Mus musculus: one gene and its partners. The protein of the gene in region 1 interacts with the protein of each later gene in a pairwise test. Links are inferred from orthologs where the notes say so. Each region holds a gene or a part of one and is shown in the gene's direction. Other genes may lie near its edges.

The links.
Region 2: the proteins of Ndn (region 1) and Eef1akmt1 interact in a two-hybrid assay, tested with the Homo sapiens proteins (2 studies listed by BioGRID and IntAct). The link is inferred for Mus musculus from reciprocal best matches to the Homo sapiens genes NDN and EEF1AKMT1.
Region 3: the proteins of Ndn (region 1) and P4ha3 interact in a two-hybrid assay, tested with the Homo sapiens proteins (2 studies listed by BioGRID). The link is inferred for Mus musculus from reciprocal best matches to the Homo sapiens genes NDN and P4HA3.
Region 4: the proteins of Ndn (region 1) and Sertad3 interact in a two-hybrid assay, tested with the Homo sapiens proteins (2 studies listed by BioGRID and IntAct). The link is inferred for Mus musculus from reciprocal best matches to the Homo sapiens genes NDN and SERTAD3.
Region 5: the proteins of Ndn (region 1) and Ccdc136 interact in a two-hybrid assay, tested with the Homo sapiens proteins (2 studies listed by BioGRID). The link is inferred for Mus musculus from reciprocal best matches to the Homo sapiens genes NDN and CCDC136.
Region 6: the proteins of Ndn (region 1) and Mier2 interact in a two-hybrid assay, tested with the Homo sapiens proteins (2 studies listed by BioGRID and IntAct). The link is inferred for Mus musculus from reciprocal best matches to the Homo sapiens genes NDN and MIER2.
Region 7: the proteins of Ndn (region 1) and Fam131c interact in a two-hybrid assay, tested with the Homo sapiens proteins (2 studies listed by BioGRID and IntAct). The link is inferred for Mus musculus from reciprocal best matches to the Homo sapiens genes NDN and FAM131C.

The regions. Positions count from the first base shown.
Region 1 is NC_000073.6:62,347,070-62,350,428, forward strand, and holds Ndn (necdin), read left to right. Parts: upstream 1-1,207; 5' UTR 1,208-1,338; coding exon 1,339-2,316; 3' UTR 2,317-2,859; downstream 2,860-3,359. UniProt on the Homo sapiens protein: Growth suppressor that facilitates the entry of the cell into cell cycle arrest.
Region 2 is NC_000080.6:57,568,783-57,572,840, reverse strand, and holds the start of Eef1akmt1 (EEF1A lysine methyltransferase 1), read left to right. Parts: upstream 1-1,258; 5' UTR 1,259-1,298; intron 1,299-2,916; exon of another isoform or gene 2,917-2,978; intron 2,979-4,058. UniProt on the Homo sapiens protein: Protein N-lysine methyltransferase that selectively catalyzes the trimethylation of EEF1A at 'Lys-79'.
Region 3 is NC_000073.6:100,292,020-100,295,519, forward strand, and holds part of P4ha3 (prolyl 4-hydroxylase subunit alpha-3 precursor), read left to right. Parts: intron 1-556; coding exon 557-699; intron 700-1,727; coding exon 1,728-1,951; intron 1,952-3,500. UniProt on the Homo sapiens protein: Catalyzes the post-translational formation of 4-hydroxyproline in -Xaa-Pro-Gly- sequences in collagens and other proteins.
Region 4 is NC_000073.6:27,472,611-27,476,639, forward strand, and holds the start of Sertad3 (SERTA domain-containing protein 3), read left to right. Parts: upstream 1-1,229; 5' UTR 1,230-1,261; intron 1,262-3,529; 5' UTR 3,530-3,532; coding exon 3,533-4,029.
Region 5 is NC_000072.6:29,395,149-29,399,374, forward strand, and holds the start of Ccdc136 (coiled-coil domain-containing protein 136), read left to right. Parts: upstream 1-1,426; 5' UTR 1,427-1,536; coding exon 1,537-1,594; intron 1,595-2,330; coding exon 2,331-2,438; intron 2,439-3,777; exon of another isoform or gene 3,778-3,886; intron 3,887-4,052; coding exon 4,053-4,226. UniProt on the Homo sapiens protein: May play a role in acrosome formation in spermatogenesis and in fertilization.
Region 6 is NC_000076.6:79,552,329-79,556,628, reverse strand, and holds the start of Mier2 (mesoderm induction early response protein 2), read left to right. Parts: upstream 1-1,500; 5' UTR 1,501-1,546; coding exon 1,547-1,555; exon of another isoform or gene 1,556-1,670; coding exon of another isoform or gene 1,671-1,718; intron 1,719-1,731; exon of another isoform or gene 1,732-2,083; intron 2,084-4,300. UniProt on the Homo sapiens protein: Transcriptional repressor.
Region 7 is NC_000070.6:141,381,433-141,384,674, forward strand, and holds the end of Fam131c (protein FAM131C), read left to right. Parts: intron 1-894; coding exon 895-1,077; intron 1,078-1,311; coding exon 1,312-1,422; intron 1,423-1,955; coding exon 1,956-2,215; 3' UTR 2,216-2,742; downstream 2,743-3,242.

The DNA.
Region 1 (3,359 bases):
GTGATGAGAAGGGCTAAGGAATTCCATTATTTCAGAACAAGAAAGATGATCAAATCTAAGGACTTCTGGCTTTGGAAGCTTCAACAATGGTCATTGTATAAAGGAGAGTTTGAGGAAATATCAGCTTTAGATGACCTCTCGATCTACCTTTTTATTTTTGGACACCAATATGTTGCATCTTATTCATGAGAGACTGTTAGGTATCGAAAAGAGCTGCATTTAAAATATATTGGGAAAGATTTGGATGTGCTCCCAACATGGAATTAGTCATTTGTGAATGACATAATTTAAGAAGTAGAAGATTTCTTATAAACGCAGAAGATGCAGTGAGCAGGGCAAAAAGGTAGTGGGAAAATATGAAAAATACACTGTCATAAAATGTGTATTAATAAATATGTTGATCATTTTCCACTAGAATCTTAACGGAAGCTTTAGATGAAAACAAAGTGACCTAATAGAAATGGAGAGCCCAAATCTATAGTTATTAAAATAATTCAAAACCAACAAACTGAGCATCCAATGATGAATGAATGCATATATATATATTTTATATATCCCTCATTTTCATGTGGGGCCTGGGGGATTTAAATTCTGGTTCTCATGCTTGAACTGCAAAAGCTCTTAACCACTGAACCAAGTCTCATTTTAATTAAAATTTTAAACTCCCATCAATTATGCTATATGAATCTACTACTTCTAGAACATTCAAATCTCACATGGATTTATCTCCAGTGTCTGTAACTACACTTTACATTCTTCCTTGTTTGATCTGCATTCAGATATGTAAGAATTTATCTCTATTAATAATTTCTCAATATTCCAATCTTAAACAACTCATCATCATCATAAGGTACAGCTTTCCAAAAGAAAAAAGAAAAAAAAGTCATTTCTGTTTCTCTTATTCTTTTGTAGAAAAACCAAAATCAAGAATTAAGTCTTTCTCCAGGACCTTCACATTTAATTTGATTTTGCACAAACTCAGTGTGTCCGAACTTAACTTCACCATCTCAGCTACATCTTTCTCCTTCAACTTGTTTCTTTCCCTACCATCATCTAGTTCTGTGCCATACAGGAGACCAGGAAATCTTTTACATAAGCCTAGTGGTACCCTCCCTTAGACCCCAGTGGTTGGGCTTTGCTGCTTCGCTCCTTTCCAGCCCTACCACCCTTCTGGCTTCCCAACACGCATGCGCAATATCGCATCAGCCCCGCCCGCCCGCTGCTGCGGAAGGCGCAGTGCTCAGTAAAGCGCACTTCCTCTGCTGGTCTCCACCGAGGGAGTGCCCGCTCCAAGAGCTCCAAGCCGCATCGGTCCTGCTCTGATCCGAAGGCGCAGACATGTCGGAACAAAGTAAGGACCTGAGCGACCCTAACTTTGCAGCCGAGGTCCCCGACTGTGAGATGCAGGACAGCGATGCCGTTCCGGTGGGGATCCCTCCTCCCGCTTCTCTGGCCGCTAACCTCGCAGGGCCACCGTGCGCTCCCGAAGGCCCTATGGCAGCCCAACAGGCCTCGCCACCGCCCGAAGAACGGATAGAAGATGTTGACCCTAAAATCCTGCAGCAGGCCGCAGAGGAGGGCCGCGCCCACCAGCCCCAGAGTCCAGCCCGGCCGATCCCAGCACCGCCAGCCCCTGCCCAGCTGGTGCAGAAGGCGCACGAGCTCATGTGGTACGTGTTGGTGAAGGACCAGAAGAGGATGGTCCTCTGGTTTCCAGACATGGTGAAAGAGGTCATGGGCAGCTACAAGAAATGGTGCAGAAGCATCCTCAGGCGCACCAGCGTCATCCTCGCCAGAGTGTTCGGGCTGCACCTGAGGCTGACCAATCTCCACACCATGGAGTTTGCCCTGGTCAAAGCCCTCAGCCCAGAGGAGCTAGACAGGGTGGCGCTCAACAACCGTATGCCCATGACAGGCCTCCTGCTCATGATCCTGAGCCTCATCTATGTGAAGGGCCGCGGGGCCAGAGAGGGTGCGGTCTGGAATGTGCTGCGCATCCTGGGGCTGAGGCCCTGGAAGAAGCACTCCACCTTCGGAGACGTGAGGAAGATAATCACCGAGGAGTTCGTCCAGCAGAATTACCTGAAGTACCAGCGTGTGCCCCACATCGAGCCTCCCGAGTACGAGTTCTTCTGGGGGTCCAGAGCTAACCGTGAAATCACCAAGATGCAGATCATGGAGTTCCTGGCCAGAGTCTTCAAGAAAGATCCCCAGGCGTGGCCTTCCCGATACAGGGAGGCTCTGGAGCAGGCCAGAGCTCTGCGGGAGGCTAATCTTGCTGCCCAGGCCCCCCGCAGCAGTGTCTCTGAGGACTAAAAAGGTCCAGGGGCACACTGATAGTTTCTGACCCATACTAGGGCTGTGTAAGGGTGGGGTTGAGTCATTAGAGTATCCCAAATCCACAGTGCAGTATTTCATGTATAATTTTTAAGTTTTCCATACAGTGCTTTTGTACCTTGTAATGCTATTCATTTGTGTACTCGTGTAGTGTTTAAGATTGATGCATGTGTGATAAGTATTTGGTACTTTCACTTTTGTGCTTTCGTGCATTTTTGTACAAGAGATGTGCTGTGCTAAACTTGTGAAATACATTGAGGTGTTCTGTATCTTGTTCTTTGTATGGGACTGATGATCTGTATCGACAAAGAAGGCCCTGGAGAGTTAGCAGGACTTAACAGCAACGCAGACCTGAGCAAGAGAAAGGTCAAGGCCTTTCTCCATATGACTTCAACTGGCACAGGAAGCATCCATGTGGAATGGACTGATTTGAACTGGACTGTTCTCAGTGTAGGCACTTAGCACCCTTTACAAAACATGTATGCAACCCCACCATAAATAAACGTTAAAATGAGCATTAAAGATACTGTGAAATAATTTCTTGGGGGGGGGGAGGAGGCATTTATTTTTGATGAAAGGGGGAGTGGGAATGGGTGGGGATGAGAAAGATTCTCCCTGTGTGCAGCATAAGCAAACACGGTGTCCTAACACAGTGGGAGACCACACGACCACTCAGAAGAAACTTGCAGTGCTTTAATCAATTTGTCACATAAAAGGTATAACAACAACAACAAAAAAGCTCATTATCACATAACATGGGGATAATAACAGGTATATGGAGGGCCTGCCCCTTTTCTGTTGCATTTTTTAAAATAGTCTTTGATGGACACTTTAGCAGAATAAACCCTTATCATGCATTTTCTTCTTTATTTTGTCCTCCCACCAGCCATAAGAAGTAAGGAATAACTGTATCATCACAGAGCAAGAAAAAATAAAAGGGGTGTTGGTAATGAACTATCCTAAAACCTTTATACAGGAGTCTTGACACCAAGCTCCCCATGGCCACCACTCACACACGCACT
Region 2 (4,058 bases), on another chromosome or scaffold:
CCCTGACCACTAGGGACCCAGGACCACATATTTCTATCTTAAGAGATCTTCCAAGGTATTCTCTCAGCACCATTACTAAATATAAAAGAAATAATTCCTTAATTAAAATGTGGGGGGCTGGTGAGATGGCTCAGTGGGTAAGAGCACCCGACTGCTCTTTCAAAGGTCCTGAGTTCAAATCCCAGCAACCACATGGTGGCTCACAACCATCTGTAATGGGATCGGGCTTCCTCTTCTGGAGTGTCTGAAGACAGCTACAGTGTACTTACATATAATAAATAATTATTAAAAAAAAATGTGATTTGAAAGCATCTTTTGGATCCAATTTGACTGAAAAACTTTTTCACTTCAATAAAGACTAGTTTGTCTTTGATACTAATTTTATGATCTGTGAGAAACATTTAATTACAATGTATACAGGCCAGCCAGAACTACATCAAGAAACTCTTGTTGAAAAAAAACCAAAAAGGTAGAGCTTTCTTGTGTCTTCAGACACTTTAATATTTAAAAATAGCATATAATTGAATACACGAAGATAATCATTGTGGCATACATACTTAAAAGGAATGGAAGCTTTAAAAAATTAGGTGCAAAATAGTTTGCTTTAAAACAGGTTTTTTTGAGTCTTATAAGTAGATGGTTTCTTCCTTTTCAATAGTTTTTTTTTCTTGATTGCCATTTTGATAAGTTACACTTGATTTGATCTATTTGGTTTAATAGAGTAGTCATTCGTTTAGAGAAATCGAAATCAAAATGAAGTATGGGTTTCTACAGACGAAACACTACTGTATGTAGAAATTGTGACAGTTCATTATCAAGCTGCTTTTTGAGTGGCGTCAGCATCTGAGCGGTGATTTAAAGCCCTTCAGCCAGATCAGGAAATCGATAAAGAGAGAACCGAACAGCAGGAACATAGTGAAGTTTGCCTGTCCCTGGGAAAGAAAAGATTACATGTGATTTAAGAATTGCCGAATCAAAGGGAGCATTAGTTTTGATTAAGGAAAACTGTGTGCCAGCTACCATGATAGATTGGTAAAATATGTGTTCATATACTGTGAATTCAACACTGAAAGCTCTGAAAGACTAATTGGTTTGAAAGGTTTAAGACTGACTCCAAAGTACCAAACAGCCAGACTACCGCAACCTAATTAAAACCTGGGTTGTAGAAGCCGGAAGCTGACTGGGCGGGACTAGACGCTCATTGGCTCCCACCGTCTGGTCTGCACCAGCGCAAACGCGGAGGTCCCCGCCAACCCTCACCCCACCCCCGCACTGTGACGACTGCGCATGCGTCAGTGGTGAGTGGCGGCCACGGAGTGTGGCGGCGGAGGGTCAAGGGATGTTTTGGGTGGGTTCCGAACCGGGTCCATACTGACCCTTGGAGACTTTCCCAGTAGGGGCCTCGTCTCTGCGGGGTCCTTCTTCTTGGACATCTTGAGCCGGAAACAAGTCCTTAGTGGTCCGGTCGGAATGGTGCCTGGGGAAGGGATATATATGCATGGACACGAGGAAGCCTTGAGCCTTAGCATGGGGTTTGGCTGGCCGGGCTGTTCATCCAAACTTACCTTGTTGTGTGTTTGTGGCTTGCTTTCTCTGTGCAAGTTTTATCTCAGGTCATGGTGGGATTTATTATTTTGAGATGGTCTCACTGTATAGCCAGGCTGGCCTCGAACTCAGACTCATTGATCCCTCATTTTTCCCGTGTCACCACACCCAACAATCTTTCTTTAAATAATAAACAGTATTTAGGAAGTGAAGGACTTCCCTCAGGCAGAGACTTGTATGAAAATGAAAGCACACGATTTTTATACACTCGAGATGCACAGGCAGACAGATCTCTGAGTTCAAGGCCAGCCTGGTCTACAGAGAATTTTCCTGGACAGCCAAGGCTACACAAAGAAATCCTATCATTCATTCATAGGTAGATAGATAGAGCAAGTTCTAGGACAGCCAAGGCAACACAACTGTCTTGAATCAATAAGATTACTTAGAGAATATCTGCCAGGCATTGTCATCTACAGAGTTCACGCTCAGGGAACAAACAAGTTGAGAACAATGTCATTTCTAGTGACTGTGGGTGCCTGTCTCTGAGCCGCAGGTTGAGCATACTTGACAGGTCATTCTATTCGCCTACTAGTACAGCTACCCTTCCTGCAGTTTACTAACGACTCTGGAAAGAAACTTTGTTTCATTCTCTTTCTGCTGGCTTAAACTCTCTTGACCTAAATATCTTGGAGAAGGTACTTAGATACTCTGACATACAGTATTGTTAGTTTTTTGTTGTTGCTTTCGTAGATCTGATGCATGGGAATAGAAGTTTGTTTTGATTTTGGGTTTTTTTTTTGGGGGGGGGGTTGGTTTTGTTTTTTTTTGTTTTTCCAGACAAGGTTTCTCTGTGTAGCCCTGGCTGTCCTGGAACTCACTCTGTAGACCAGGCTGGCCTCGAACTCAGAACTCCACCTGCCTCTGCCTCCTGAGTGCTGGGATTAAAGGCGTGCACCACCACGCCCGACTAGAACTAGAAGATTTTTATAGAAATGAAGAATCCCTGCTGCTGCTGCCGCTGCTGACCCTTTCCCCACGGTAGTCCCATCTTCCTGTAACCCCATTTCCATTTTTCCTATCAAGGCAAGGCCTTGACTTTATTTCCCATCAGGTTCTTCCCTGTTGCCCTTAGGTGCTGAGCCACATTTCTGACATAGAGCAATAGCTGTCTTGCCATTTCTTTGTCTCTGGGGTTTCTGGACCTCTGCACTAAGGATATTTTGGACAGATCTTTGAAGTAGAGGGTTGTCCTATGAACTGTAGAAAGTTCAGAGTCATAGCTGACCTTTGTCCACTGGTTGCCAGCAATGCCCTTGATTATGATAACCAAAAATGTTTCCAGCTGTTTGCAAGTCTTTCTCCTAGAAGAAGAGTGACTCCTGGCTCTCCCATGAGAACCACTGATCTAGAATATGAGCCAGTAAACACTCCAGGTCAGTTTAATATGACACAGCCCTTTTCAGACCTGCTTAACACAATTTCACAAACCTACTTAAAAAGCAATACAAAACAGCCACACAGCGTAACACACCTCAGGAGGCTGAGACAGTGGGATCATGAGTTTGAGGCTAGCCTAAGCTACATAGTGAGTTCCAGGAGAGCCTGGGCTACATAGTGAGACCCTGTCTTCTGTATTTCTTCTCCCCCACCCCCCTCAATATGGTTAGTAATGACAGGAACTTCTGTCTTCCACCACTACCTTAGTAAATAGAACTTTACCAAGCATAGTTCTCACACAGAGAAGTAACCACTGTATAATCTTATGGCTTTTATGAACTTTTTTTAATCTTCACAGTTTTGACCTTTATTTAAATGAAGTTATTTATATTTTCTTCGAGGAGTACTAGGGATTAACCCTGTGGTTTTGCACAGGCTAGCAAGCACTCTGCCACTAAGCCATAGCTCAAACCCTTAATATTTTAAATTTTATTACAGTATATCACTGAGTTTTGTATATGTATATTCATATTTCTGTATACATGTGTATATAGGATAAATAGATTTTTAGAAAGAGGACAACGAACTATGATGGGCAAGAGTGCTATGAATGCAAAAAATGAAAACAATTTAGCCCTTTTTCTGGAAATAAATGGGATTAAAAAATACAGCAACATATAAAAAAAATTTTACACTCATGATCCTCACCTAAGAAATTTTTTGTCACATAGGCATAAAAAAAAAATCAAATCAAACATTTACTGATAGTAACCACACATTTTATTTATTTTTCATTGAATGCGTTTGGGTGCTCTGCCTGCATGTATGTACATATGTGTGCCATGTGTGCGCCAAGTGCCTGCTAAGCCCAGTAGAGGGCATGGGTCTCTGAAACTGGAATTGCAGGTGCCCGTGAATCAGCATGTAGGCACTAGGAGCTGAGCCCGGGGCCTCTGCATGAGCAGCTGTGCTCTTAGCCACTCAGTCATCTCTTTAGCCCCTGTTAGCTTATTTTAAAGCAATTCTTTGGTGTATATGTAATTTTATTATTAAACATAAAGACAGATTTGCATACC
Region 3 (3,500 bases), about 38 Mb from region 1:
TGAACTATTTCCATGAGTTTCCAGAGGTTCAACACTTCAGTTTTTACACCATCACCCCCTTCCTAAAGAAGTAAGGGCTACTCAAACAGGAATTTGTAAAAGAATATTTTATTTGTCCTACTTTCTAAATCTGTTGTATGTGTTGAGATCAAGGTCATTATGTTTTAGCTCTATAAACATGTCTTAAATCATCCCTCAAGTCATACTTTTACCTGGATTGTAAATCTTTTTAGGAATCATGAGATTATCATTTGCCTCATGTATCACTTGTAAAATTCCATACTGTAACACATTTAACAAACTTTTGACATCAAGAAGAAGAAGAAGAAGAAAAAGAAGAAGAAGAAGAAGAAGAAGAAGAAGAAGAAGAAGAAGAAGAAGAAGTAGTAGTAGTAGTAGTAGTAGTAGTAGTAGTAGTAGTAGTAGTAGTAGTAGTGAGGGCTACAGGCAGGCACCGCTGTAGCCAGCTCCTGATTTTAGCAGTTCTCACCACAGCAGCCTCCCTGGGCTGTATCAGTTGTGTCTAGGTGAGATAATTCTTTCTTGTTTTGTTCAGATTCTATGACAAGGTACTTTCTTTGCACGAGGACTTGAAGATCCCTGTAGTGAATCCTCTACTTGCCTTCACTCTCATCAAACGTCTGCAGTCCGACTGGAGGAATGTGGTACATAGTCTGGAGGCCACTGAGAACATCCGAGGTAATGAGGATGCTTGTGAAATACGGGGGAAGCTTCTAGCTTCTGATTCGGTGGTAAGGAGGGAGACTCCGTTGAGTTACAGTGACGATTAGCAGAGCAGACAGAAACTACCTGAACTTCTAAGCTCCTTTAAGTCAATCGAGTTAGTCCTCTTGCTAATAGGTGTATGATTTTAGATAACAGGACACCTTCACCTCCATTACCTCACTTGATCGTCACTACAATCAAGTGAAGAAGTGTACTTCCACCCAGTTAAATGCGTGTATTTGTGTACCTATGTATGTGCAAAACATCATGGCCTTCCAGTAGTTTCTGTTTCAAGTTTCTAAATTTGAAAGTTAGAATACTGTAATGTGACCTGTAAAGAAATCACTTTCTAATTCATTCTATCTTGCACTATAAGAAGTTGGTTAGTTTGGGGCAGTTAAGAAGAAAAAGAGTTGCCTCTTGCTAAAGGGAAAGATTATAGATTCATGGGGTGGAGTGATACGACCAAGCCGTGTACCTTATTTCTTTTTACTTCCTCCATGCCATTGTTCTGAATGTCCTTCATCCAGATTATCATATCAAGCATCTACTCTGGAGGGCTGGAGAGATGCCTCAGTGGTTAAGAGCACTTGCTGCTCTTCCAAGAGGACCCAATTCAGATACCAATGCCTGCATCCCAACAGCTCACAACTGCCTGTAACTCCAGCTCCAGGAGAGCCCATGTGCTGCTCTTTGTACCCTCTCAGGTTACCTGGGCACGCTCACACACACACACACACACACACACACAAGCGCACACACTCACACACACATATACACACAACACACATGTATCCACTCATGCACACACATTCATGCATGCACATGTACACACACATGCACACACAAACACACACAATCTTTAACTAAAAGAATCCATTGTGTCCCAGGAGATGAGCTTGCTGCTGAGGGCTCTTTGAGCAGGTGGTCAGGTCTCACATGAGTGAAATGCCCATTGCCTGTGTTTGGAGGCGAGGGTCACAGTCTTTCTATTTTTACAGCTCTGAAGGATGGCTATGAGAAGGTAGAGCAAGACCTTCCTGCCTTTGAGGACCTCGAGGGAGCAGCAAGGGCCCTGATGCGGCTGCAGGATGTGTACATGCTCAACGTGAAGGGCTTGGCTCGAGGCGTCTTCCAGAGGGTCACGGGCTCCTCCATCACCGACCTGTACAGTCCCAGGCAGCTCTTCTCTCTCACAGCGGATGACTGCTTCCAAGTTGGCAAGGTGACATGCAAAGAAGTCCAACTGCTCGATTCTACTTTCTTATGGATGGACTGTGTCTCAGCTGTCTTTAGGTATTCCCTTTGCTTGAGGTAATGACAGGGTAGATCACTAAGACTGCATTGCAAAGTAGGAGGAGCTAAATTGAACCCCATCTTTTAGCTTCCCATGCTCTTGCCATAGGGATGAGAAGTCATCATATACTTAGGGCACAAGAAAAGCTTTTCTTTTCTTTCCAACAGGATATTGTGTATCCCAGGCTGGTGTTAAACTTGCCAGGGTCTTCCTGCCTCTACTTCTCCAGTGCTGGGATTACACCATGCCCATTTTTGCAGGGCTAGAAATCAAACCCAGGGTCTCATGTGTGCTTAACCAAGCACTTGAGCAACTGAGATACATTGTTTGCACACAAAATGGCTGGCCAGGCTGATAGACATGAACTAGGCAAAAACCATCAAAATTTTTTTGAAATTCTAACTATAAACCCTACAGTATCTGAACTATGGGTGGAAAGCAGAGAGAAGGGTAAACAGGAGGTTCTAGATGGCGATGTGAAGGTAAGATCACAGAAAGGGCCTGTGAGATGCTCTGGAACCCTTTGCTTTGTTCCCCAAGTCCTTAAAAATATCCAGCTAAGTTAGTGTAAAACAACCAAGGCTGTGCACCGCGATGTTACCTGAGGAAACAGACTTCAGGGATCGCCCATAGGTGTATGTAGCTGATTTTTGCTCATACTGAGTTGTTTTATAACATACTCTTTCCCAGCCTTACCTTCAAAGGTATGTGGTAATTCTTTTCCTTTAGAAGATATTTACTGCAGGAAAGTGTTATTGGTTTTTTTCCTTCCTACCCCTACCCAATGTTCATTAACAATGTGCTCCATGGTCCTAGTTCCAGGCTTGGGGAATCAGTCTCCTAGACCTACACAGAGTGGGTTCTCTGCTTACTGCTTCTCTCTCTCTCTCTCTCTCTCTCTCTCTCTCTCTCTCTCTCTCTCTGCAGTCTTGAGGAGCAGAGCAGGAGTCCTGCCATGAGCATGGCTAGTTCAACTAGTTGAGTGCACAGTACCAGTAAGTGCTCACTAATGGAGCCTCTTGGCCGTGTATTGAAAACCATAAACCATATGCTGAAAATTTTGTAAGCCAACTTCCTGAAAGTCTTGCTGCAAATCTTTATTTATTTGAAAGACAATGCATTTCAAATGTATCTGTATTTATTTGAAGGATAATGAATTTCAAATGTAAAGGTGGTACCTAGGACAATATCAAAAGCAGTTTTATCTATCTATTATCTATCTATCTATCTATCTATCTATCTATCTATCTATCTATCTATCTATCTATCTCTCTATCTATCTGTCATGTATGTGTATGTGTGTATACAGTTATATCTATAAATGCAGTGAAATTCATTTTCAATTTGGCTATATTAATTACACATTTTTCCTTCCTCCTACCATGTCACCGCCACCCAGGTCACCAGTGTCCTCTCCCTGCAGGGCATTATCTTCTGGGGTCAGCTTCCTCACTCTGCAGTTTATACTATAATGCAT
Region 4 (4,029 bases), about 35 Mb from region 1:
AGCAGGAAGATGAAAGATTCCAGAATAGCTTAGGCTACACAGCAAAACGCTGTCTCAGAAAACAAACAAAAAAGTGGCTGGGGATGTAGCTCAGTGATAAGAGTACTTTGGCTAGCACCACCTCGGTGTTCCGTGCCCAACACCACAAAAACTAAGCAAAAGGAATTTTCTTTAGGGACACACCTGCAGCTCCAGGACTAGCAATATGGAAGCCAAGCATGATTAGAATTTCAAGGCCCTTGTCTACACTGGAGTCCTGCTTCACGAGACTGCCTAAAACAAAAAGAATCCGAAAGTGAGTCCTAGAAAACAGGAAGGAGGGTACCAGAGACCAAATAGTGAAGAGCAAGCTAACCCTTCACTACGAAACCATATCACAAAATTAAACACACACACACACACACACACAAAATTTTAAATCTTAGCTCAGTTCTACGGTGTTTGTTCAAAATGCTCAAATGTTAAATCCCCAAAACTAAAAATAATAATAATAATAATAAGTTTGAGTTTGTTCCCAGAGTTGTGAGCAGTCTTTAAGAGTAAACAGCAACAGGCAGACAAATGCGGAAAACGAAAGCGTTGCCTGGGATCCAGGAGGTTCCCCCAAACAAGCAGCAGACCCCTCTAGGTTAAGCATAGACTCCTCCTACAAGACGGGTTGGGGGTGGGGAAGCAGAGCTCCGCCAGCTAAGGGGCGGGGCTGCGGTCGTTCAGGCAACGCAAGCCGCATCATGCTATTGGCTGCTGTCTAGTGCGTCATCCCCCCCCCCGCCCTCCGGTTTGACCCAGCCTTCGGAACTCCGGGGGGCGTGGCCTCCACCATCTGCCCCAAGCCTGCAAAACCGCAGGGAGGGGAGAATGGTGTCACCCGGTGTCACTCTTCAGTGGGGTCTGGTATAAGGGGTCTGCAGTGAAACAGAGGAGTGAGAAACACAGCTGGGTCCAAAGTAGCAGTTCTGACGGCGTTACCAGACTCCACCGTGGAGACTCCGCTCCGCCCCCTGACCAGTAGCCAACCTAAACCGGACCCGGCCCAGTGATGGACGGGGCCTAGCATCCGTGGCTCCTCTTAGCCAATGGCGCCCCGCGGCGGGCAGGATTCCAACCAATCCTGGCTTGCGACTGGCCTCCGGGGAGGAGCCGAGTGGCCCCCAGCCAGACCCAGAGGCCCGGGGAAAGTGAGCCGGACTTCTACCCAGCACTGGTGGAACCCAACCCTGCAGGCTTGTCGGAGGTAGTCGTGGCGACCCTGGCAGCCGAGGTGAGGAGTGGCCGCCTGTGTGAGATTTCCCTGGAGTTAGAGGAGGACGGGGGCGCGCCCCCACGGTAGGCGGAAGCGGGGTATCCCGAGTGGAGAGCAGATTGGTGTGATTGATGGACATTGGAGGGTGGAAGGCTGAATTCCAGCATCAGCACCGAAGGGGGAGCAGGATTACTCAGGAGTTGGAGTTTGGAGAAGCCAGGAAAACGGAGAAAGAACTTTGGAGGAGAGTGTAGGACAGTTTGAGTCTCGAAGAATAGGCTGAGTTTGGAGTTCCACGGTGTTCTGGACAAAGTGAGCGTTTTAAGGCTAGGATATGAAGCATTTAGAGGAACCCGGGAACTAGAGGAACCGAGTATTGGATTCTGAGACGCCGTCGTGAGAAGGGAATGCCGGGGAAGAGTTCACTGACTGGGTCTCGGAGCCGGACTGGGTATTTGGAAAGCCAGAGTCATTTGAAAGTGGAGCCGAATGAGGGGAGATTTGGGACGAGGTCTCAGAATTGGGATATCCAGTTTCGCCGGCGGAACTATGTACCCGAGAGTTATTTGTCGTCTTTGGGCGATGTGATGGGATTTGGACCTCTGCACACCGAGGACAGTTTGGGGAAGAATCCAGAACTTCCTGGGGTGATAGGGACCCAGAGAAAACAGGTTTCTGACTGAAGCCTGGTGGGGGAGGGGCGCTCGGGGCGTGGAGCTCGGATTCACCGCCCCGAAGGCAGTAGAGGGCGGGGCTCGGCGGCCGCTGGGCAGCTGAAGTCCGGGTTCCCTTCCCCCACCAGCCGGAGCTCCCGTACGCATGCTCTCAGAGAGGGCGGGCGTGTCCAGTCTCTTGGGTGTGCTGGGCCTTCTGGGGATTGTAGTTCCAACGCGACAGCCGAAGCTCTGCCTGGAGCCTTTGGGTCCACAGTTCCCAGAAGGCCCTGAGGATACATTGAGGTGTTCTTGGGTCTGGTCTAGCGACCCAGGGAAGGGTGGTGCCTATAAAAAGAGATGATTGGGTTGGACTGGTCGCTAGAGGGTGCAGTTTGTGGTTAGTTTCGCTCTAGCTGGCTTTCCTTTGGGTCGGAGTTTGGGAAATACTCCCTCTCTTTTGAGAGGTCATAGACTCAATTGTAGGAAGCAGGTACGGACAGAAATATTCTTGTTAAAAAAGGAGAAAAAAAAAAGAATTTAAACACACACGTCCCAGCTAAGCCTCGTCTCACACACATTTAATCCCAGCCTTCAGGGAGGAAGAGGCGGTACGATATGAGTTCGAGACACAGCCTGATCCACATAGGGAGTTCCAGAGCAATACAGAGAAACCCTGTCTCAAGTTTGGGTTTGGTCCATTACTCTGTGCTCCATACCTGTTTGTCCTGTGACCTGTTAGGAAAAAAGTATTGTGGGAAAACAATAACAAGATCTATTGAGACCAGAGTTAGGATTTTCACTTTCCAAATGTTAAAATTGATTACCATAATGTAAATTCAACGTTGTGCCTACCACAGACAAGTGATACTCAAGCCATGCCCGGATGTTTTGGTGATTTGTTTTAGGGCTTTTTTGTTTTTCTGAGACAGGTTTGTCTGACCATATTAAACTCTACCTGCTTCTGCCTCCTGGATGGGTGCTGAAATTAATGGCATAGGACACCATCTGCAATTTTTTTTTCTGTTCATTTTCCTATTTTAAATTTTATGTGTATGGATGTTTTGCCTGCATGCTTGTCTGGGCACTACTTGTGTGCCTGGTGGCAAAGGAGGCCAGAAGAAGCCATGGATCCTCTAAAAGTGGAGTTTTAGGCAGTCCTGAGCCATCCATGCAGGTTCTGGGGATCGAACTTGGATCCTCTAGAAGAACAGACAGTGCTCGTAACCACTCAGCAATTTTTCCAGCTCCTTTTATTTTTGAGACACTGCCTAGCTGAGGGTGACCTTGAACATCTGAACTCACTGCCTCCTTAATACAGAGGAGGTGACAGCTACAGGAGTCTCTCCACCCTCACTACTACCTGCTCCCACTCTGTGTCCTGTGCACCCCTCCTCACACTCACTTACCAGTCCCAGCAATCCTATCTGCATCTTGTTCTCTCAATCACATTGCATGCATTAATTTACCCATTCTTAGCCTTGTGGGATTCTCTGTGCACTTTAAATGGAGGTTCTGATACACACACACATACACACACACACACACACACACACAAAAGCTTCCCATAGCTACACAGGCTTGCTTGAAGAAGTAAGGTCCCAAGGTATCTGACTCCACTCTTTTTTCACAGGACATGGGAGGCTTAAAGAGGAAACATTCTGATTTGGAAGAGGAGGAGGAAGAGGAGAAGTGGGACTGGAGTCCAACAGCTCTTCGGAGCTACCAGCAAGCCCTGCTCCGAATCTCTCTGGACAAAGTCCAGCGCAGCCTGGGCCCCAGAGCACCCAGCCTCCGCAGGCACGTCCTTATCCACAACACACTCCAGCAGCTCCAGGCTGCCATTCGCCTCGCTCCAGCACCAGCCCTGCCCCCGGAACCTCTCTTCCTAGGTGAAGAAGATTTCTCCCTATCTACCACCATCGGTTCCATCCTCAGGGAGCTAGATACATCCATGGATGAGATGGAGCCGCCTCTGAATCCAGCAGCTTCCTCGAGTCCCCAGAATGAGATCGTGTCCCAGGCTGATCCTGTATTCTTAGAAGCTCTGAGCTCAAGGTACCTGGGAGACTCTGGCCTGGATGACTTCTTTCTGGACATTGATACATCTGCGGTGGAAAAGGACGTTGCACT
Region 5 (4,226 bases), on another chromosome or scaffold:
AATTACTACTGACTTCTGGACTTTTTTGTTTTGTTGGTTTTTGGTTTTTGAGACAGGGTTTCTCTGTGTAGCCTTGGCTGTCCTGGAACTAACTCGGTAGACCAGGCTGGCTTCTAAATCATATAGATCCGCCTGCCTCTGACTCCCAGGTGCTGGGATTAAAGGTGTGAGCCATCACTGCCTGGCAGACATCATTGTTAATAGGGAACGTGAGTTTAAATTCATGAGTTAAAAATCTGGGATAAATGATGAAGGCGTTGTTAACTTAGTCGGAAGCTCCATGTTACTCATTTACTCCATGAGTCAGGTACTTTGATACTGAAGATACAAAGATAACTAGGATACTTCCCAACCTTAACAGCAGGCAATACTCTGATGCTGCCCAGAGGGTCAGAAGAGCACAGCAGGAGAGTCTAAAAAAAGGAAGGGATGGGGTGTCTGGAGAGTAACTCTCAACACAATGCTGAAATTACTGATAAGCCTGAGATGTGCAGGGAATTGCTTCATTCCTGAGGAACATGGAGGGCTTGAGAGCCCAGTAGCCTGGGGAGTTGAACCCAGCCAAGCCATGCCCAAACTTTAGGAGTGAGAATACATGAGAAAGAACTGGTGTGAGGTACCAAGCTTAGAAATCTCTCCACGATTATAACTCGGGGAGCAGATTCCTGAGTATCCACTTCTGACCTAAATGAGACCTGCTGAGATGTCAAATCTGCCTCAAGACCAAGTTCATCTCTTGAATAAATAGATGAAAAGTTGAAAAAAAGCTTCGTGGTTTCCCACATTTCTTGTTACAGGGAACATCAATGATGCCCACACTGCACAGGTCACAGAGGGCGTGGCTCAAAGGGCTGGGAAGAAAGAGGGACTTGGTACACTGGGAGGAGAGCTCTGGCTGGGTGGGATTTCGGGGAAAGCAGTGATGTACCACCACCTAGCACTTGGCACATGCAGGTCTCAACTATCCGCCAGCCCTGCAGTAGCTCTGGGGCGCTTGAGGCTACCCGGAGGGATGGGTTCTGTGGACTGCGGGGATGGGGACGCTGGCTCTGTGTGGGAACCAAGGAAGTGCGCGTGTGTTTGCGCATCTGCAGGAAACAGTCCATCCCCCCCCACCCCCACCCCCCCCCCGGTTCTATCATCCGTCAAGACTAGCCCCTGAGGTCCCTAGGCGTGGCGGACCCAGGGTGGGTTCTGCAGCCAGAACCAAGCCATGCTAGCACTCCTTGGGCGCATCCTCAAGACCCGGTAGCTCACGTCCGCTTTTCAGGCGCAGCAGACCTGAAGCTGCCTCGGACGAGCCTGGGGCACTTTAGTGACGTGTTTTGAACCTCTTTTGCTGGTCCTCACTGGGTCTGGAGCCGGGGACTGGGGGAGGGTTTCCGGGCGGCCACAGGCGGGCACTCGCGTCAGGTGGCCAGGCCAGGCCCCGCCCTCTCGGCCCGCCCTCTCTCCTCCCTGCGCACCGGGCTCCCGGTCCCCGGCCCGGAGGCTGCGGCTTCTGCTCGGGAGGCGGCGGCGGCGGCGGGAGCAGCCATGGAGGCAGGCGGCGGGGCCGGCGCGGGAGCCGCGGGCTGGAGCTGCCCTGGCCCAGGTCAGAGCGGCCTCTCTCTCAGCTCCCTATGCTCCTTCCCCCTACGGCTCTCCTTCCTTCTGACCCCCAGGTGCTCCTGGTACTGAGTCGGCTCCCTTCACCCTGGCCTCCACCGGATACTGCTCTCCATCTTTCGACCTGGGTTGTCCCTTCCCAGCGGTCACTCCCCAAGCGCTCCCCAGTTAGTCTCTCCAGCCCGATTGTGTTTCCAGCTCACGAGGGGGGCGGGGGAGTTGTCTCTAGAGCCTGCACCCTTCTAGTTCATCAAAGCTCTTGACCACCGGGAGAGGGTGGGGTGGGCGAGGTTTGGTGAGGGAGGGAAGGGGAGAGAAAGAGAAACGGCCTAGTTTAGAGCCCCTTCTCTCCTCTCCTGAGCCGGCCACCCCTCCCTTCTCTGCTTTGCTATATAGGATCCTCCCAAAACCTTCTTTCCTAGTTCCCACCCTACCCCTCTTCTTATGCCCCAAGCTAAACAAACACTCACCCTCTTCTGTCTGAGCGAGGGAGAGGAGCCGGGAACAGGGGTGCTGAGGTTGGGCCGCGCCGGACTGGGGTCCCCTCCATAGGCATGAGAGGTGGCTGAGGGAATAGAATCACAGAGCTGGGCAGAGTGAGTCAGGCTTCTCCAGTGTGATTGCAAATTCCGGGGCTCCCATATAAGAATGCACGTCCCTTTCTTTCCCCTCAGCCCCAGGCCCCTCTATTCCTACAGTTCTTACTTTCTCCCGGCTCACAGGACCCACAGTAACCACTTTAGGCTCCTATGAGGTATCTGAGGGTTGTGAGAGGAAGAAAGGCCAACGCTGGGGGTCTCTGGAGCGCCGTGGGATGCAAGCTATGGACGGTGAGTTTTCTGAAAAAGGCTTTCTATCGCCCTACTCCGTAGCTCCCTTCTTCCTTCCCTGACCCCAGAACTCTGAGCCAGAACAGGGCCCTCCCCTCACTTCATCTCAGGCCCCTCCTCCCTGGTGGCTGAGCTCCAAGCCTCCCCTGGGCTCAGGCATTGTGGGAAGTTTGGGCACATCCCTTTGGGGCGCCAATCACCCAGCTAACCAGGTTGTGTGTCCCGGGAAGCTGCCAGACAGAGAGAGGCCCTGCTCAACCCAGCCTGGAAACAGGCTTTCGGCAGGGGGCTTGTTCTTCTCACTGCCTGCTGACCCAGATCCCAAGCTGTCTCTTATTTTTAAAAGCCAGGACATGGGCATGAGAACTGTCTATCTGATGCCACCACCGTCAACTCTGAATGGAACCCTGCAGCTTTAGTAAGAACGTGCTTAGGAGAGGGCTAGATGGAGTCTATTTCCCAACAGCACTCGCGTGTAACAGGGCAGGCAGTACCAACACATTATCCAGGACTTCTTGTGAAGTGTCCCCAGGCCCCTCTGTAGTTCAGCACAGGCCTTCCCTAGAGACTAGATGACATAAGGGGTCTCAGATGAACCGTATGCTGTTGGTGTTAGAAAAGGGAAGGAAGGCCAGAGACCCAGGATTAAAAACAAAGCAATCCCTACCAAGACAAGATTGCATTGCAGTGAAGAAGAAGAAGGAGAAAAAAAAGGTGTTCAGGAGTCTGAACATGAGGACCAGTACCAAATTAGTTTTTCAAATGTGTCAACAGGACTGGAGAGATGGCTTAGCAATTGATCAGTTCCCGGCACCCACATCGCAGCCCACAGCTGTCTGTGACTCCAGTCTTAGAAGCTCTAATACCCTCTTCTGACCTGAAAGGGCATTGCCCTCCCATGATGGACAGACACACATGCAGGGAGAGCACCCGTATGCAGTAAATAAATAAATGAGTGGTTTAGAAGAGTGTGTTAAGATGGCAGACTTTCTTTGAGATGAGTTCAGCCTGACAACTCTCAACATCAACTTGGGTCAGAAGGAAAGAGATGATCCTTGTGGTACCCAACAGGGAAACAACAGGTGTAGAAAAACCTCAAAAAGATATTTGACAACATGCATTTGAAAGGGTTCCAAAATGGATGCAGTAAACAACTCCGCCTAATGTTTCCTCTTCTATCTACAGACCAAGCCAGTGTTTTCTTATTATGAAACGGCTAATACCTTGCAAGCCACCTAGGTTGTTTTTCCCCCAAGCTTGCTTCATTTGGCCTACATAAACAGCTGGTGTCTGAATGTCTGAATCCTTTCTTAACTCCTTGTCCTACTACCCAGAGTTCAGACTACTAGAGCCAGGTGTCCTCATGCAAGCTTCTTGTAGCTGAGCCAGCACAAGGCTGCTGGACAGGCAGGAGACGTCCAATATTAGGCGTTTGGAAGCTGGAGAAGGTGCATCCAAATTTGACCTACCAGAGCCTGACCATGAGTTAGGTTCTACCCAGGGAACCTCGGGGGACACCAGGTGACACTACTCTGCAGACCAGGCCCTGGGGAGGTAAGGTGCAGGGTTCTAGATTGGGCACTGACTGTGTGGTGGGATGGTTGTCTCTCCTAGGGGAGGTGTTACTTCCAGCTCTATATGAGGAAGAGGAGGAGGAAGAGGAGGAAGAGGAAGAGGTCGAAGAAGAGCAAGTAGAGAAAGGAGGCAGTTTGGGCTCCCTTTCAATGGGCAAGCATCGGGGCCTGAGCCTGACAGAGACAGAGCTGGAGGAGCTGAGGGCCCAGGTGC
Region 6 (4,300 bases), on another chromosome or scaffold:
GGCCTCTGTGGCACTTCCCTTGTTTTGTGGGTCATTAACTATCAAGTACTGAGTGTTGTTGATGGAACTTGGAGGCTTCTACAGTTCTCTCTCCTCTGACACTTCTGAAGAACACAGTCTCACCATTGAGCGGGACCTTCCCTTTTAGGCTGGGTCTGGAGCCCACACTTCTGTCAACAGTTTCTGAACTCTGGCCTGGATGAGAGATGTTGTCTAGGCATCACCTGAGGAAATGCTGAGTGTCCACCTCCCCTAATGATGCTCATATTTCCCAGCTGGCTGAAAGGTCACCTCAGTTCCCCATTGCAACTATCAGGTCCATGGGAAAGAAAGCCCTAACCTTGAAGAATCTTTCTGCTCATCCATTCATCCAATTGCTTAACCTTTGGTAATTGGTTAATTTGTGTGTGTTTGCTATTGTTGTTTGTCTTGACACATATAGGGTCTTACTACGTAGCCAAGGTTGTCCCAGAACTTGCTACATAGACCTCCAACTCACAGAGACCTGTTTGCCTCTGACTTCTGAGTGCTGGGATTAAAGGCTTGTGGCACCATACCCAGTAGCTTGGTTTCTTGAGGCAGGGTCTCGCTCCAAAGCCCATGCTAGCCTCAAACTGATAGTAACTCTCATGCCTCAGCCTCCTGGGCACTGGAGTTACAAGTATGGGCGACCATGCCTGGCTTTCTCTAGTGATCCTTGTCACAGTTCTCTTTTTGGGTTAGGACTGACTGACTCAGGTTCATGGAATGATGAACCCACCAAACGAGCAGGGGGCAGACTTTCTGTCTTGGGCAAATCCTCAGGGGTGGGAGACAGCTTTTGTGCTTGAACCTTAGTGGTGCCTTCACCTCCCAGCTTGGTCCTGGCCCCAGAGGGAAGGAAGAGTCATTTGGTGACTTGTGTAGACCAGAGGCCTTCACCTCTGCAAGCCTAGGTCTGCCCACCGGTCTGCCTCTCCCATTCTGTCTGCACCCTCCTGACAGCGAAAGTCAGGTTTGTGCACCTGTTCTGGAGGCTCTCATGCCCTGCTCTCTGTACCAGTGTCCTTCACCTCAGGACCACCCCCTCACCCCTAGACCATCCCTCACCTGTCAGTTGTTTCATCTCATTCTCCCTCATTTCAAGACATCCTCCCCTTCATCTCTGGACTATCCCCTCTCACCTCTAGTCCATTCCCCATCACTTCTGGACCTTCCCCTCACCTCCAGACCATACCCATTTCACTTCGGGACCCAAACCCCTCACTGCTAGATTGTCCCCTCACCTGTGGAACCTCTTCACTTGTAGACTGTTCTTCACCTGTGGCTTGTTCCCTGTTTGCGCCATCTCCCTCACCTGTGGACACACAGGAATCAGCTGATTGGCTGATGTACGGGCGTGGGGTACACCGGACCCAGGCTATAGATCTCCGCTCCTCGCCAGCACACCTACTACGCGCCTCCTGCGGCCCCGCCCCACTCCGCCTCCCAGCTCCTCCGCCAATAAGCGCGCGGCACCGCATCCGGGGACCCGCGCGGCCGCCGCCTCCCGCGCGCACGCTCGGCCATGGCGGAGGTGAGTGAGCGGCTGGGTAGCGGCCCCTCCCACACACTGCCCTGGGTCGACCTGGTCCGGCCCGTGCTCTCCCAGTCCGAGCGCCTCGAGCCTCCCCACTATTACCGGGCGGAGCATGAGCCCCGTGGGCGCCCGACGACCCCCCTTCCCCATCTCGGCTATGGTGCGCATGCGCGGGCGGGCGGGGGGGAGGGGCGCGAGGCGCGGGCGGCCGGGTGCGGGGCCGAGACCCGGGGCCGCGCGGCGGGAGGGCGCCGCGGACCGGGTGGGTGTGCGGCGCTGGCGTCTGGGACGGCGGCGCGGGGACCGCATTCCGGCGCGTTGGGGATGAGCAGGGCGCGGAGTCGGCGGCTCTCTGCGAGCGGAAAGTTTCGCGCGTGGAGTTCGTCTGGCTGTGGGAGCGAGAGCGCGGGCCTCCCCGCGGGTGCGGGGCTGCGGCGCACAGCCCAGAGCTGACCTGCACCTCGGGGTGCGGCCGCTGAACTCCGGGACCAGCCCCCAGCGACGCGCTGCGAATCCGCCACTCCGGTACTGGAACTCTGCACAGTGCGCGAGTGGGGCAGCTTGGGGCAGCAACAGGCCCGCGCGTGGGCCACAGGGTCGGGATCTGGGGGCCCCGTTGGACAACTCTGGCTGGTTGACTCAGAGGGTTCTTAGGGGTTTAGTTCCTTCTTTAGGGGGCCTTTGGGGAAGCAGACCTTCTGAAGACAAGATAGATCAACCGATACCCCTTTTGGGGCATGGCGGCCAAGTGGGTGCTCTTGGGCTGCTCTGCCCTGTGTGGCATGGGTGGTGGAGACTCCCCAGCCTGTGCTTACGTGCTCTCCTGGAGTCTAGGATTTGGAAGGGTTCTGCCTCAGTTTCCTCATCTTAAGTGGGAACCTGGTGGTGCCTTTCTATAACTGAGAGGGTGTTTTGCTGCATCCATGTTTTGAACTCATGAAAGTGGCAGTGGTTACATAGAAGTCCTCAGTGTCAGCTACTTGGTTAGTGTGTGTCTCAGCCATCTCTTTGAGCTGGTGGCTTGTCCCGTTCTTAGTCTAAGCCACACCTCTTCGCTGTGCCTATCCTTTGCAGTCCTCATGAGACCATCCAGCCCCTGGGTTTCTTTCTTGTAGTCGGAATTCCTACAGAGTTGCCTGTCAGTTGTCCCACTTCATCTGGTCTCTAGGACGCCACCTCTGACCCCAGCTGCCCAGCTCCCACCCGTTTTCTTCATTCCTGTCCCTTGGTTTAGCTCCCTTGTTTGTCCCATGTCCTAGCTCCATGTGGGTGGAGACAGGCTGAACCCGTCTCTCGGGATGTCCTAGCTGCCACGGTGGAGGGGCGAGGCTGGGACACCAGGGGCACGGGGCCCTTGCCTAGGTGTGGATGTGGGTCATTTCTCTTGAGAATGCTCTCTGACAACTCAGTATTCACTTGTTCTGACCTCTCATAATTCTTGGGGTCCTTTGTGGGTTGCAGTTTGTAGGAGTTAATGTTGAAACCTCTGCCCCTTTGGGGTGTGGGCTACAACCCTATTCGTGAGGTCTCTGTGTGGCTTGGGCTTCCTCACAGCTTGGAGTCTGTGCTCCAAAAGATGCTAGGTGGAATCGAGGGATGCGGCTTCCTGAGCGAGTACCTTTCCTTCTGTAGTCTCAGTCTGGCTAGATCTGGGTGCCGGAGTCTCCCTGGGAGACCTGCCTGGGGGGTGCTACCAGTGCTGTGTCCAGGCTCCTAGCTAAGAAGGCAGGGTGGCGGTATCCATGCTAACTTACTTTGTATCCTCTATTCTCAGACACCTTGCTGGGGGACCTTCTTGCCTCTTGCTTGGGGACCAGCCTTTAAGTGTTTGTCCTGTTGTCACCTGGATCATCTTAGGCTGGACTCCCTGCTTCCTCCTGACATAGAGATCTCAGGGACTTTGCTGGTCTTTGAGTTTTCCCAACATGGGGAAATAGGGCCTTGGAAACCCCCCTTTAAAGCGGCATTAAAGTGATGTGCCTGGTTGTCCAGTGACCCTGATGGTATCTATGCCTTAGTCAGTCTTGGGGACCTTGAGGGTCACCTGGAGATGAACTTGGCCCAGTTGGCAAGGAGCAGGCTGCATGGTCCCCAGGTTGGCTGTGTCTCCCACTGTCGGCTCTCAGCTCCTTTCTGCTTTCACCCTTGCTTGGCTCCACCCTACTGAGGATGCCTGACCCCTGACCTGAATGAAGCAGGAGGCTATTCCCATTCTGTCGAGATAGTGAGACTTTGGGACTATTGCTAGCTTGTCATGCACCTGTGGTGTCTCACCTCTAAGTTAGGGTTCCTGACAGCTGGGACAGAGAGCCAGTCCCTGGGCAGAGCCCACAGCCACCCATAGGGAGCTAGAGAGGGCTGGGCATGATTCCGAGGGCACCTGGGCTTCCTCCCTGTGGCTTCACGATGTTAGCCTGTGGGGCTGGTCCATGTCCATGTCCCAAGGTTTGAACGCAGCCGACACCTGGGCGAATGAGTGCCCCTGCGGCTGTCCCAGGTGGGCCCCCTCATCATCGGCTTGTTTAGCCCTCTGCCCCCAAGGGGGAGGTCACCCTCAAAAGCCTGTTGGGTTGTGGTCACTGTTGAACTAGAGCTTTGGGGGTTTCCTGGAACCTCTTCAGGAGGGTGTGGCCCTGTGTCCCCCACCGCTCCCTCACTGCATGGTGCAGTGCTCAGTGCAGGGACCTGGCTGCGTGTCTTTGGAGGTTCTTCTTGGTGTTGCTTGAGTAAGAACTTGACCTC
Region 7 (3,242 bases), on another chromosome or scaffold:
ATTCCTGTGACGGTCTCATCTGACATTGGAGCTTGGGTTCCCCTAAGCCCGGCTTTAAGGGTCCTGGGGATGCCCGGATCTGTTCCCTACCTCGGTTAGTGGAGATGCTGGGCTGTTGATTCCTTGTCTCCATCCCCTTCCATATCCAGCCAGTCAGCTCATAAGCTTCCCCAGCCTTTCTCCTGTCTCGACCTGGCTCCCTACCATGGCCTCTGATTGCCCCAACTCCCATCTCCACCCTTGAACTTCAGTCTTTCAGTTGGGATACAACTGATATCCCAAGTAACAGATCTAACCTACGTCTTCCCTGGTTCCTGTCTGGCCATGTTGTAACCAAGGCTCTCCATTGCTGTAGAGATAACACCAAGTCTTCATCTCGGCTCCCTAGTCCCTGTCTGGCCGATGAAAGGCTCCCAGCCTCTAGTTGCCCTGTGTCCCATCCTTGGTTGTATGGTGTTGAGCCAGTACGTCTGTATCTTTAACCTTGTCTCATCTCTGAAATTCTGCCAGCCTGGCCACCATCTGTCCCACCCCAATAGGCCTTCAGAGAGCCCAATTCCAGGTCACCTCCTCCAGGTAGTACTCCCTGATGCACCTCCACTCACTAGAGTCTCAATCCACAGAGCTGTTCATCATGAGTGGAAGGGGCTGAGTCACATGGCCAGCCGGAGGAAGGAGTGGCTGGTTTGGGAAACTTGATCCAGATTCAATAAGACATTGGGAATGAGGGGGGCATACAAACGGGCGGGACATGGCGTGAAGGAGGGCATCAGACTGCGATGGCACAGAGCAGAATTGGTCGTGGTGACAGGATGGTCTGAGGTATTTGGGTGTCACGAGCGGGGGCTTACGTTGGGACGGCCACCCCATGAACAGCTATCCATGGCTTCACAGGGGTGGTGCAGAGCATCAAGGACCACATCACAAAGCCCACGGCCATGGCCCGTGGCCGAGTGGCCCACCTCATCGAGTGGAAAGGCTGGAGCGCCCAGCAGTCAGGCTGGGAGCTGTCCCCCGCAGAGGACGAACATTACTGCTGCCTCCCGGACGAGCTGCGCGAGGCGCGCTTTGCTGCGGGTGAGTGAGGGGTCACGGAGAGAGAGGCCACGGGCTGGGTGTTCAGCCTGAAGCGGGGTCTGAGCGAACCTGCGGTAAACGCGTAAACGCGCAGGATGGTGGGCGGGGCACTCACTCGGTGGCTTCCTCTCTCACAGCTCAGAGAGGCCCATGGAGGCATAGAGCGCCCCCTTCCCACCCCTGTGCTCACTGAGTCTAATCTTGCTGCCCCGCCCCCACTCCACCCACCCCCAGGGGTCGCTGAGCAGTTTGCCATCACGGAGGCCACTCTGAGTGCCTGGTCCTCTCTGGATGACGAAGAACTGCAGCCCGAGGACAGTACCCAGGGTGCCTTCCAGCTCCAAGGTACAGCAGGAACGACAAGGCAGGGTGGGTGGAGCAGCCCTCAGAGGGACGCCAAGGACTCTCAGCAGGGTTCCTTCCTTTCCTCCTCCCCCTTCTTCCCCAGCTACCTGGGGCTGGCAGCTCTGGCTCCAACATTCCCAGGGGCTGCGCTTATCAGAAAGGAGAGACTGGGTGGGGTGCAGCTTGAGCAGGCACTAGGTGGATTTTGGGTGCTGCTTTCCCAAACCTGGGTCCCAATGAAGCGTCCCTTAGCTCTTCTCACATGATTCTCCCTATGACTGGGAGTGTAGGGGACAGAGGACCAGAAAGAGAACCTCTTGTCCCAATACTCACTTCCTGCTCTTATCATCTCTGCTCCGTCCGTCATAGGGAGAAAACTGAGCTCAGAGAGACTTGGAGACCCACCTGAGGTCGCATAGCTTAACAGTGACATTGCAGGCCTCCTCACCCTGGCCTGGTCTCCCGCACCCTGGGAGGTAGGGCACAGGCACAGAATTCCATCTCTTCCCCTGTACCCCCATTTGGTTTTCTAGACCTCGAGAGCATCTACCTTCAGGACAGCCTCCTGAGCGGCCCTTCACAGGACGACAGTCTCCTAGCCTGCTCTCCTGGCCTCACCCTGAATGATGGCTGGCCCTCACCAGAGGAACCCCCTAGCCCCACCCAGCAGCACCACCGGCAGCGGCTGCCAGGGGCCCAGGGGCTCGATGACAGGGCCCACTTGCATGGCTCGCTGCCGTCGGTGGACAGTGGCTCTCTTTCAGAAGAGGAAGATGAAGTGTTTTACAACTGAGGCAAGATGGCCAGTCCGTTGTCTGCACACCCTGCTGGGAGCCCAGCTGTACCACTGTACCACGGGGCATCTCTCGACTCCTCCGTACAAACACAGGGTGGATCGTGGTGAGGAGGCTGGCTGTTACTCCTGTGCACCGCTCAGTGCCTCCATGGACCTGCTCACAGCCTGCTCCAGGACTCTAAGCAGACACCAGGGCAACCAGCCCCAGGAGAGCTGACAGTCGGGCCCCCAGGAGGACACCATGGAAAGATTGTTTGGAGGGGGGTCTGGGGAGCCAACCTCCACCTGGGCTCAGCCTGCCCCATTCAGTCTGGGCATCTGCCTGGAAGGTGGGACTGTTTCTCCTGGACTCTCTCTAGTCACTGGACTGTCTGTCTGTCCTTCCTCTCTTACCTGGTTCCTCTGTGACCGCCACCCCCCGCCCTGCCCCACTTCCCAGCCAAGAGGACCCACGTGTCCTCCCTCACACCCCCTCCCTCTCCCACAGGGTTCTCTGGTGACATTAAAGTAGTGTGTTAATCCCAGATGAACTTGACCTGGTCTTCCTGGGGAAAGTACATTGCTGAGCCCTGGATAAAGGTGTGAGGGGTTGGGAAAGGCTCCCACCTCCAACACACAAAACACTGGAGAGGCCTGGAGTGTCTTGATATTGCAAAGATCCACCCCCAGGGACCCTGCTTTACCCAGCTGTACCACAGGGAGACTGAGTCTGGAGGGCAGGGCCACACATATTCAAGGTCCTTGGATACGTGAAGCCAAGCATCAAAAGACCCAGTAGGGACTCTCTCTCCCTTCCATCTCCCCGCTACAGAGCAGAGGCTGAGGGGCCCCAAGCCCAGCCTTCGATGCTCTGTGATGATCTGTGAGCACCAGATGCCGCAAGAGCTTAACCTAGGCCAACACTAGAACCCAAGGGACCAATTGCAAACTCCTGAGGGAGAAGATGGGTGAACAGTGGCTCTGGGAATCAGCTTTAGTTTTATTTTCTCAGGAGCTACTGGCTGTGAATAGATAATCCCAGAAG